Linked DNA regions of Xenopus tropicalis. The protein of the gene in region 2 purifies or fractionates together with the protein of the main gene of each other region. This does not show direct contact. Links are inferred from orthologs where the notes say so. Each region holds a gene or a part of one and is shown on either strand. Other genes may lie near its edges.

What was found. Proteins that work in one complex are often made in the same cells at the same time.
Region 1: the proteins of ncbp1 (region 2) and eif4g1 purify together in Homo sapiens (affinity purification with western blotting; 3 studies listed by BioGRID and IntAct, with this or other methods). This does not show direct contact. The link is inferred for Xenopus tropicalis from reciprocal best matches to the Homo sapiens genes NCBP1 and EIF4G1.
Region 3: the proteins of ncbp1 (region 2) and ddx39b purify together in Homo sapiens (affinity purification with mass spectrometry; 6 studies listed by BioGRID and IntAct, with this or other methods). This does not show direct contact. The link is inferred for Xenopus tropicalis from reciprocal best matches to the Homo sapiens genes NCBP1 and DDX39B.

Annotation. Positions count from the first base shown.
Region 1 is NC_030681.2:99,788,695-99,792,991, forward strand, and holds the end of eif4g1 (eukaryotic translation initiation factor 4 gamma 1), read right to left. Parts: intron 4,241-4,297; coding exon 4,159-4,240; intron 4,063-4,158; coding exon 3,964-4,062; intron 2,657-3,963; coding exon 2,522-2,656; intron 2,423-2,521; coding exon 2,341-2,422; intron 2,259-2,340; coding exon 2,118-2,258; intron 1,959-2,117; coding exon 1,780-1,958; 3' UTR 611-1,779; downstream 1-610.
Region 2 is NC_030677.2:107,434,395-107,437,971, reverse strand, and holds the end of ncbp1 (nuclear cap-binding protein subunit 1), read right to left. Parts: intron 3,460-3,577; coding exon 3,356-3,459; intron 3,070-3,355; coding exon 2,955-3,069; intron 1,736-2,954; coding exon 1,604-1,735; intron 1,511-1,603; coding exon 1,397-1,510; intron 1,290-1,396; coding exon 1,176-1,289; 3' UTR 654-1,175; downstream 1-653. UniProt on the Homo sapiens protein: Component of the cap-binding complex (CBC), which binds cotranscriptionally to the 5'-cap of pre-mRNAs and is involved in various processes such as pre-mRNA splicing, translation regulation, nonsense-mediated mRNA decay, RNA-mediated gene silencing (RNAi) by microRNAs (miRNAs) and mRNA export.
Region 3 is NC_030684.2:74,192,707-74,196,009, forward strand, and holds part of ddx39b (spliceosome RNA helicase DDX39B), read right to left. Parts: intron 1,859-3,303; coding exon 1,727-1,858; intron 1-1,726. UniProt on the Homo sapiens protein: Involved in nuclear export of spliced and unspliced mRNA. Component of the TREX complex which is thought to couple mRNA transcription, processing and nuclear export, and specifically associates with spliced mRNA and not with unspliced pre-mRNA.

The sequences.
Region 1 (4,297 bases), on a different chromosome or scaffold from region 2:
ATATTGGGCCTAATGCACTGGCTGAATGAAAGGGTGAAACTGAAGAATAATGCTGCCATTTTTAGCACAGGTATATCCTTATTATTGAATGCCATATACACATGAAATGCATTAGGCTTTTCTTTGGGCATGTTATTTGAATTAAATTTTTTTTACACTTATTTTACACTTGTCATGTACATTGGTGTTTTAGATAGCCCAAGTTCTGTCTGTTTTTATGGTGTTCAACTTTCCCCTTACGTGAAGTTCTGGGATTGGCTCTACTATTTTATAGACTTGGGGTTCAGAATTTTGAGCATGCCATTTTAAGTGTGACAGTACAGCATGTATGACTATTATTCATTCATTGTTAGTGTAGTATCAAAGAAAAGGTGCCAAGCACCACGTAGAGTCAGTATAACAAGGGGAAGATTTAGTGAAAATGTGAAAAACGTGAACTGCTGCAGATTTGTAATTCTTTAATATGGCATTAATAATGAGGTGAAGCAATAGCTAAATGACTACCCGATTTTTTTTAATGAACTGATAATCATCCCTTTGGCTTGAATTGTATGGGATTATTAATGCAGTGACCATACATGTAAAGCAAAGTGCCATTACAGCAAGAAGATAGCACAATTTATGTAATGTTCTCATTTATTTCCAGTTTCTGTGAAAAGAGGTTTTGCAGGAAATCTGTAGGTCAGAATCATTAAATACTTAATAAAGAAAGCAAAAATGTATTTACAAATTGAATTCAATCCTTAGTTTGTTTCATAATTACAAGAACCTCCAGAACATATGGGGAGGGAAAATAACCAAAAGGTTTTGCTTTCTCTATAAATACAGAATTTGCATGGGTTTAAGGGGTGCATCTCCAACACTTGGTGATCTTAACATAATAAAATTAAGTCCTTTTCATTCCCCCTGGAACAGGGGATATATATATATAAAACAAAAAAAAAAACAAAAAAAAAAAATGGAAAAAAAATATCAGCAGTTGGTAGAGTACGCACCAATGTGGATTGTTTCAGATCTGTTAGGAATTCATTAGATTACTAATTTGCATATAAAAAGCAAACAATGAATTTCAGCCATCTTCCTGAACTCCGTGTGGGCAGGAGATCAGAAACACAAGGTTCAAAAATGGCACCTGTTGCCATCTTTCAACCTAAAACAATTTGCAATAATTATATATATTTATATATAATATATATATATTTATATCTATATTTCAGACATCAAGAGCAGAAGGGAAGAACAGATGCAACATCCCACTGAAACATGTGGTCTCCAGTCTGCTCTTGAAAAAAAGAAAAAAAAAAAAAAAATCACATCAGCAAGCGTAAGAGAAGTCTGCCTGTGCCCCGTTGTGTGACAACACAGAGGGTAGAAGGGCACAGCTTCCATCCCTCTTTCAGCAGTCCCAAAATGTATCAAGTACTCATTTATTAAAGTGAACCCCAAAGAAACTGTTTCCAAAAAAAAAAAAAATCCAAAAATGCAAGAAACCTTTACAGTGTGCACAGCTGTGTGCGCGCCAGGCTCCACGCCCAATCTCTGTACCAGGATTCCTACCATCTTTTAATTTTACTCCAGGCTCTCCTAGCAATTTGACCTTGGTCATCATTTAAGCCAATGTCAATTTTTCTTTTAAAAGCAGAATCATGAGTATTTGTGTTTTCTGGTGAAGTCCATTAGAGCTTGGGTGGTGTGAATACAACAGCAAAAGAAAAAAAAAAATGGAAGCCCAGAGGAAAACAGAGAAAGGATGACAGGCATTACTTTTGGCCTGCACTGTTAATTATCAGACTCATCCTCTGCTTCCCGTAGCCATGTGAAGAAGGCAGTGACAGATTTAAGAGCAACACCTTTTCCTTGCTGTTCAGCTGGGTCTTTGCTGGACTCCCACTTGTAGAATGGATCCTCTTTTATCACATCCTCATCATAGAGAGCATCAAAAAACATCCGTAGGAGATCTGGGAACAGACACAGTAAAGCATGTTTCTATGAACATTGTTTACACTGATGTAAAATACACATTTTAAAAATGCACAGGCAAGAGGATAGAGGGAAAAGGGAATGTGCAGCAAGCAAAGGCAGTCACTGGCTTACATCCCACTATGCTTACTACTTACTTGGGGGCTGGTCAAGCTTTACAACAAGTGCCTGTAGAGCATAGAGAGCCTGTAGTTCCTTGGCCTCGTCACTTAAATATTTCTGAAGAAATTTGGCTCTAGTATGGATAATATTAACATCAACCCTACAAGGATTCTCAACTGAAAAACAAGACCAAACAGTGATCAAAAAATAAATAAATGTGAATGGTTGCCTGTTGGTTTTGTCAGTGTTAATACTCACAAATAATAGCAGAGTGGCACACAGTACTCATTAAAGTTCGAACAAAGGTGTTGGATGAAGTTTGCTGGTCATTTAAGTTGGCCTGAAAAGAACAACAAAATAAGTTGGAGCTGAACAGTAAGGTACTGACATCTAACAGTACTCAACCAGCCAAAGTTCTGCAACATTCCCGCCTACTTACTTCAATCCAGTCAAATATCTTCTGGTTACTGCTGTTCTCTTTCAAAAGTTTTGTCAAAATTTTATCAAGTTCAGCAGGGGTGAGGTCTTTCTTACTGGGTGTTTCAGTCTCCTCTCCTGTTGTGTATTCGAGTTTCTACAGGGGAAAAGAAAAAGCAGTTGAGACTAAGGAATAGTTATAAAAAAAAAAAAAAAAAACGATGAGACAAACTGGCCTAAAACAGTCATGATGAAAGGTTTTAGTTTTAATACTGTATTACACTGTGTGCAGTGCAAATAGTTAGCTTTACCACTTGAAGTGTTATTTTCCAATGTATATTTAATTATATAGTTTTAATAAAGGTGTAGGGCAGCCATCTCAATTTATTATGCATAATTCTCTGCTTGTAGAAACCACCACCACAGTTGCCTCCTCAGCTATTCAGTTCTTATCTCTAGGTGCAATAAAATCCGGACCTTGAATGAAAACTATGGAGCAGTGAAAGTCAGACTCCACAGGTCACTGCTCCATCCGCCATAGCCACGGCATATTTTATATTATAAAAAGTTGCGGAGTGCAATCAGGGCAGTTTTAAACCTGTTTTTTCTGAAAGCAGTAGCAGTGAAATCCCCACCTGTCCATGTGCAGCAGCCTTTAGCACAATGGCAGATGGAGATCTCTTTCAACTGCGGGAAATGACGTTGCCCATAGTCAAAGGACTACAGGGGTGAGCATCCCACCTGCCACTGCCCTTAAGGCGATGGGAGGCAATATAGGCAGTTTTGTCTCCATTCACTAAAATACAGGACAGTTCATCCACTAGCATTTAATTTAGCCCAAAGCAAAGCAATGCTAGCAGAATAAAAACATGGAGCTTCAGTAAGGAGCCCGTGATTAATCTTCATTACTGCGGGCAACTTATCTCCATCAAATTCTTTTCCACTGGCAACAATGTTAATCATTTGAAAAAAGGCGATGCAGGGGAAGCATCCAGTATGCGATGATCGATTGATCGAGAGTCAGGCTAGGATCGATCAATAGATCGCCGCATAGTGGATGCTTGCCCTGCATTGCCTTTTTTCAAATACCGGAAGCCAAGTTTTAAACAGATATTTTTTAAAAAGGTATTCAAAATACTAAAAGGTTTGCAGGACAGGGCAATTATTGGGGCAGGGTAGAATACATTTTTTACTTAATTTTTAGTTTTACTTTTCCTTTAACGCCTTTCAAGCAGGGCTCTGGACCTTTTGTTGCCAAACACCCCATTTTGCTGCACAAATCAAATATTTGAAGTTGTGTATCAGTCAGTCAGCACAATACAATTTACATTATGTGACAGTCAAGTGGTTAAAACAAAGCTTTAACTATTTAGCATATATGCCGTTACACTAAGCAAAACAAGTTAAAAACATTTTATTAAAAAAAAAAGTTGAGAAGAATGTTTTAGGATACAGATTTCATACCTTGTCAGTTATAAACTTGTTAATATCCTGGTCCTTGGACAAGAATTCCTTCCAGCTTAGCCCAGATTCTTTCCACAGGGCTCCAGCCTTCTTATGACTCTGATTTTAGGAAATAATTTATAGGGTGTGTTATTAACAAGAATGTACATAATACTTCAATGACAATGACTGCATACTAACCAGGAATATACTCACCATGCCTTTGCACAATAATCCAAGGATTTCTGCCAGAAGGACTCCAGCTTTGCCAATGAGCACTAAAGGTTTGGTCAGCTCTCTAGAAGTGGAAGCACAAAGGTGTCAGATAAAGGAACTGAAATTCTAACCCACTTCT
Region 2 (3,577 bases):
TCTGCTCATCCACTAAATGAATACTTCATAACTTGCAAAATAAAAAAACATAATAAAAAGCTACAAATAATATTAAATATAAAATGTTGCAATATTTGTTTCCAAAACATTTGCTTATGGGTATGGGAACCCGTTATCCGGAAAGCTCTGAATTACAGGAAGTCCATCTCCCATACTGTCCCGTTTAAGCAAATAACTCATTTTTTTAAAAATAATTTCCTTTTTTTTCCTCTGTAATAAAACAGTACCTTGTACTGAGCTGTATGAATTCATATTAGTAGCAAAAGAATCCTATTGGGTTTATTTCATGTTTAACTTATTTGCAGCTGACTTAAGGTCTGGTGATCCCAATTAAATATCGTTATCTGGAAAATGCCAGGTCCCAAGCATTCTGTATAATAGACCCCTATGCCTTTATTTGTAATTCCAGACTCTTGAGTTTCAAAGCTTTATGTAAGAACATCTCATAGTTAAACTCAAACTGTACACTGCGTATGTCTGTGAGGTAGCTACTTGTGTGTCTTACTTGTTAGATATAATGTAATATTTACATTCTCTTGACATAACTTAATTTCTTTAAAGGAGTGGAAGTATTCAAATTTTTAAGTTTCTTTATATAAAAAAAAAAAAAAAAAAACACCACCAAGGACAAGAACCTTAAAAAAGTAATTCAGTTGTATTTAAATCATGCTGTAGCCAGAATTAAGAACTCTAGGATGGATCAGGGTATGGGGGAAATCTAGAATGAAAGAATGAAAACCTCAGACATGTTCATTGTAGTAGGACAAATATAAAATAAACCATGTGGTCATTGCCACACTGACAAAAGGTGAAGTTTCACTCACTTTGCAATGAAGGAAACTTCCAATGAAAATATTAAAAGAAAAAAAAAAAAACTACATAAAGTATGTCTACAAAGAGTAGCAATACCATAATGGGAGGGGTAATACAGTAAGCAACACAGGACAAATCCAAAACAAATATTCTCTCATAAAATAGCTATAATGTTCAAAAAGAAGCAAATATCATAACCAATATGTGTAACACTGCAAATGATGGCTTTTTCTCTACTGCCAATCACATTTTCAGTGTTATTGACCAAAAATGTCTTTTCCTATTAACATTCCAGGCCTAGAAGGCAGCTGTGGGCGAGAAAAACTCCGGCACAGGTTTCATTAAGACTGTAATGCACAAAACTGCTGGAAGACGGTCAGGATGTGATGGTCCAATTCTGCTGTAAACAAGAGGTTCTCCAGGGTCACCATATACTGCTGGATTATCTGATGATGCTGTAAATGACCAACAACACTTTGTTATATACCTATTCAATCTTGAATTAATACGTAGAAAGTCTTATATTATATCAAGCACAGATGGATTGCTCTACACGTGTTACCTGTAGGAATATCTGCTGAAGCCTCTCTCTGCAGTTCTTATACCAAGCAGTATTCACATCAATGCCTCCAGTTTCACAGCGAACTAAGTGTTCCGTAAGGATCATGATAAACCTCTGAGGGAAAATGCATAATCAGCACAAATATAACATTGCACATTGTGTTGCCTTTAGTTTAGATACAAAATATTTGGCATCTGGATAGATTACCTGGAATATGACAAGGAACAAGTTCTTTTGTTCACTCTGAGCAGACTCAACTTTCTCTTGCAGCCGCTCAATCTGTTCTTCTAGAGGACCATCCTTTCTGCCACTGTCTTCATCATTGTCATCACTGTCTCTCTGAAATGAAATTGACCAAAATTGGTCATTTCAGGTGGAAAATCTCTGTGTCCTATAATACTTTTTTCTAACTAGAAACCAGTCAGTCAGATTTGGAGGGGGAAGGAGGGAGGAGAAAAACAAAGTACACGTGGGTTTAATTGCATAAAAAAAAAACCACAGCTCATAGAAAACATTAAATTACCTAATTAATAAAACTGTCACCAAGCGACTTCTTAAAAATGCATAAATCAGAGGATACTGACATAACATACATTCAAACATAGCATGTCCTCAAAACTAAACAGTAAAAGCATTAACGCTAACTAAATGATTTATAGCCAGACACATTCAAGCATTCAGGCAAAAATGACACAAATATTTACAGACACATTCACATTGCTCTTTTTTGTCCCTGTGACCACCAATGCAGCTTCTTGCTAGATCTCCCCAGCTGCAAAACATTGGAATGTGGCTTCTGAGGTATCAGGGTTAGAAAGCAATCAAACTGAAAAACGAGAGGGGTCAGGTAATGCAGTGATAAAAAGAGCTAAAGTGTCCTCCACTTGGAGAGTTTTACCCCTCACTTCTTAAGTAAAGGTTCATGCCTCTCATTTTTGGTTTTAAAACTGTGCTATATATGAAGCGGAGGCACATAAATACCTTTATTCATACTATAAATTATCTGGGAAAAGTCTGAAGCTGGCAATATATGACCATTTGTTCAGACAGTTTTGTCAATTTCAAGAATGCTGCCTGACTGGGCAAATGCATCAGCAGACAGTCAACCACATGATCCTTGTGGATCATAGATATATGCAAATTTATAATTTCATTTGCCTGTACACCTTGCCAGCAGGTAAACCAGCTGTTGAGAAAGTGACTGTCTTTTTCATACAGCCTTTTATTCAAGTTTGATAAATGGTGTACACACAAAAGGTTACTGTGTATGGGCACTGTACTTCTGAACATGCAATGCAAGGCAAGGAATCTTTAATTAAAAGTAAAGAGCGGAGTGTGGGCAGCTAAGTTTCTCTGAAGCACTAACTTGTACACAACTACCAGGACACTGTACATTATGAACATTGTTTAAATACAAAGAGTATACAAGAATTGCTAGATACTTCGCCATATGAGCTAAATATAGGAATACCTAAAAGGGCTCCATGAAAAACTATCCTGGAAACTCAGTAACTCAGAAACCAAATGCCCTACTCTTTTCCTCTTTTAAGTTACATACATGTTTATGCTGTTTAGCTAGCCTTAGCTTCATGTCTTCCAGTTCTTTTTGGATTTTCTGGACGTGTTTATTCATTTTCCGAATTGTAGAGTGCAAGATTTCCCATATATAAAACCTGTAAAGAAAGTTTAAAATCTGAAGGAAGCAGAATAGGACATGGACAGTAACAAACTGTTAAAATTAAAACATTTTAAAGGGCAACCAAGCTCAGGGAAGACTCAAAAATTAAAAGCTACTGTATAAGCTTGATCACAAATTAAGTATATAATGTATAGCCCCTTTTGAAGCGCCTAAGGAAAGAAGAGGTACATGAAATCTAAAATGCTGCCTATTAGTGGTTTCGATAATGCATAGTTTTCACCATCAAACTTTACAGTAAGGCCAAATAATAAATAGATCACCTGGGGAAGTCACGTGATAACTCTGGGGAGAAGATCCAGTTTGCCACTGCTGCACAGTCAACAATTTGTGTTCGTATCATCTTATCCACTAACACAGCAATCATCTGTCGACAGAATGACGACAAAATGTCAAAATATTTTGTAGTTTCACAAGCAGATTGCTTTTTACCACTATGCAAATGTTGCACAGATTCAAATACAACTAAAGTGCAAACAAAAAAG
Region 3 (3,303 bases), on a different chromosome or scaffold from region 2:
TTCAAATACAAACAAAAACATTTCAATGCCTTAAAGGAACAGTAACACCAAAGATTTTTTAAAGTAAATGAAATATAATGTACTGTTGATATCCAAAAAATTCAAAAAGTCCTACCGTAGCTTCTAGTTTACTCAGTAAGTACTCCTCAACAGGTAGCAGCCCCCGTGCTGGCTGTGTAGCTTACAAATAAAGTTCAAAGAACCCGGAGAGTACCATTGTATGCAGTGAAACAGTGTAGTTTTATTGAGACATCTTATAGCACAACATGTTTCGGCTCACCAGCACCTGAGGAAGGCTGGTGAGCCGAAACATGTTGTGCTATAAGATGTCTCAATAAAACTACACTGTTTCACTGCATACAATGGTACTCTCCGGGTTCTTTGAACTTTATTTATAATGTACTGTTGCCCTGCACTGGTAAAAGTTGTGTGTTTGCTACAGTAACTCTACTATAGTTTATATATTATAAAAGCTGGTGTGTAGCCACGGGGGCAGCGATTCAAGCTGGAAAAAAGGCACAGGTTACATAGCAGATAACAGATAAGCTCTGTAGAATACAATAGTGTTTCATCTGTTATCTGCTATGTGCCTGTGCCTTTTCTCCTTTGAATGGCTGCCCCCATGGCTACACAGCTGCTTACTTATATAAACTATAGTAGTCTTTCTGAGGCAAACACACCAGTTGTACCAATGCAGGGCAGCAGGACATTATATTGGAATTTCTTTTATACACTTGAATTTTTTGGTGTTACTGTTCCTTTAAGTATATGCTGAACTATCACTACAATACCCGCTTCGCTCTAAATACAACCACATCTACAGGTGCACTTTATTTTCTTGTTTAGCCTTAGCAAATCCATAACGGTAGTTCACAAACCATGGGGCACTGGTTCATAAATGCCATAAGAGCAGTAAGGGCTCTTACAAGAATCTCTTCATACAGTTCTTGCGGTGGATCTTTCATTCTTTCCACCACAAGGAAAAGAATGAAAAAATGCAGCTTGTTCCTTTTATTTTGTACTCACTCTGCCACAGAAAAGCTCCAAATGGAGAAACAACACAACTTAAAGGAGAAGAAAAAGCTAAGTCACTTGGGGGTGCCAAAATGTTAGGCACCCCCAAGTGACTTGAATCGCTTACCTTTTACCCCGGGCTGGTGCCCCTGTACGGAGAGAACAGCACCAGCCCGGGGTACCTGCAGCGATTCCTCCTTCGCCGTGCGCGCATGCGCAGTAGAGTGAAAAGCTGAACTTTAACAGAGAAGTCGGCTTTATCACTCTACTGTGCATGCGCCTGACTCACAGTCAAGGCTTAACGAAGGTGGAAGGAGGAAGCGCATCGCCCCCAGGCTGGTGCTGGTTTTCTCCTAATAGGGGCACCAGCCCGGGGTACGAGGTAAGCGATTCAAGTCACTTGGGGGTGCTTAACATTTTAGCACCCCCAAGTGACTTAGCCTTTCCTTCTCCTTTAAAGGGAACCTAACAAAAAATTCAAAATTCTTTTCTATTGTTTGTCAAGTAAAATAAACTTCACTTACACTATATAAATCTTGTAATTCACAATCACAGCAAGCAGGCAAGGGCCATTTTGTAGACTGTTTAGCTATCTTCTATTTTAAGAGTATGTATTAGAATAACAATAGAAATCTAGTCTAAACCACAAAAATTCCAGCTATAATATGCACAGAACCATTAACAGCAATGCAAAAAAGAAAATATTATTAACCTGGTTGAACTCCAAGAGATCCAAAAGGTCGAACAGCTTACGATTTTTCTCGTTGTCCTTCAGTTTGACGTAATACTGCTGCAGTCCATGAAGTGTCAACTTTGTTTCATCATCCACGAAGATTTCCATTGGCTGGAGGAGGGGGTTGGGTGGGAAATTAAGGGTTACACAGTAAGGGGAGGGGGCCTGCTTTCTGCTCAAATGATTGTGAATTTCTATTACTTGCAAGGAGTGCAGAAAAGATTTCTATAACCCATAAGACTTCTGACCGATGGGACTAGGTAACATGGCACAGTAACTCCATGATCAGTGGTACCTACATCTACCTTGATAGGAAGGCAATCCAGAATGGTTCAAATCTACAGGTTTCTTGTACATGAGATTCCCTGATGCATTAAATGGAGTTACTTCTGAAAATGAATGATAATGGGCCTCATTTCCTAAACATGGTACTTGGCAAACAGCAAAAACTGATAATTTGCCCTGTTTTATTCTCAGTAATGCAGTAATATATTTCACAAAAAACCCTGTGTATTTGTTTCTGCACAATTGCCTATGTGTTCAAAATAACCAGTACTAGGGGGACATTGGCATATATTTACATGCTCAATAGTGCAATTTTTGTAATGCAAAATACCTGCAGGCACAGCGTGCAGTCAGTTATGTGAGTTATACCCAAGTGTAATAGGCACAGCCGTCACTAAACAATTAAAAACAACTATATCTGTGCATTTTTCCTTTAAACACATGCAAAGGTGCAAAATGTTTTTTTTCTCTAGCAGCTCCACTTGAATAGCAAATGAGGCCCAATATTAAACTATTTCAAACCAGTTGTCCCTCATTAAAGAACAAAATGTGATCAACTTCAATAAATATAAAAATATGACAATGTTATTATTAAAATAATGGGATTTACAAATGCAAAAGCCACACAGATTGTATTAACGCTGTGTTATAAATGCCATGTGATGGGATAATATAGTAGCACGATTTCTTATCAGACAAATATTAAAAGGGAACTATCAAGAAAACTAAAATTTCATGTAAGCTTCATCTCATGTAAATAAGAAACTATCTAAATATAATCAGCTGGAAATTCTGTACCATTTCTGACAATCTATCCACTCTCTCTACATGCAGCTTTGTATCAGAGTTGTGTATTTAGAAAGACAGCTCTAGACTACATTGCCTAGGCAAAAAAGCACACACCAATGCACTTGCTCTAACTGTCCATCAAAATCTGACTGACTCCTGCATGAAGGGCAACAGACTGCTGAGGAACTTCATTTCTGAAACAGCACAGTATTCTCTGATTATATTAAGATTATATCTTATTTCCATGTGATATGACATTTTTGCAACAGTTCCTATTTAAGGACCTACAGGGCCAACTTATTGATTATGCATGCAACTGTACAATTAGTAAATCATAAAATCAGTACTAATGGTCAAGTGAAGACAAAACATTTCATACAATTTCATAAAAAAGTCCGAACTTAGCATTATGGAATCTGATGTTACAGCGCAATCATAATGTTTGATCAGAATGGTTTGATTTCCACAATATTTACATTGTA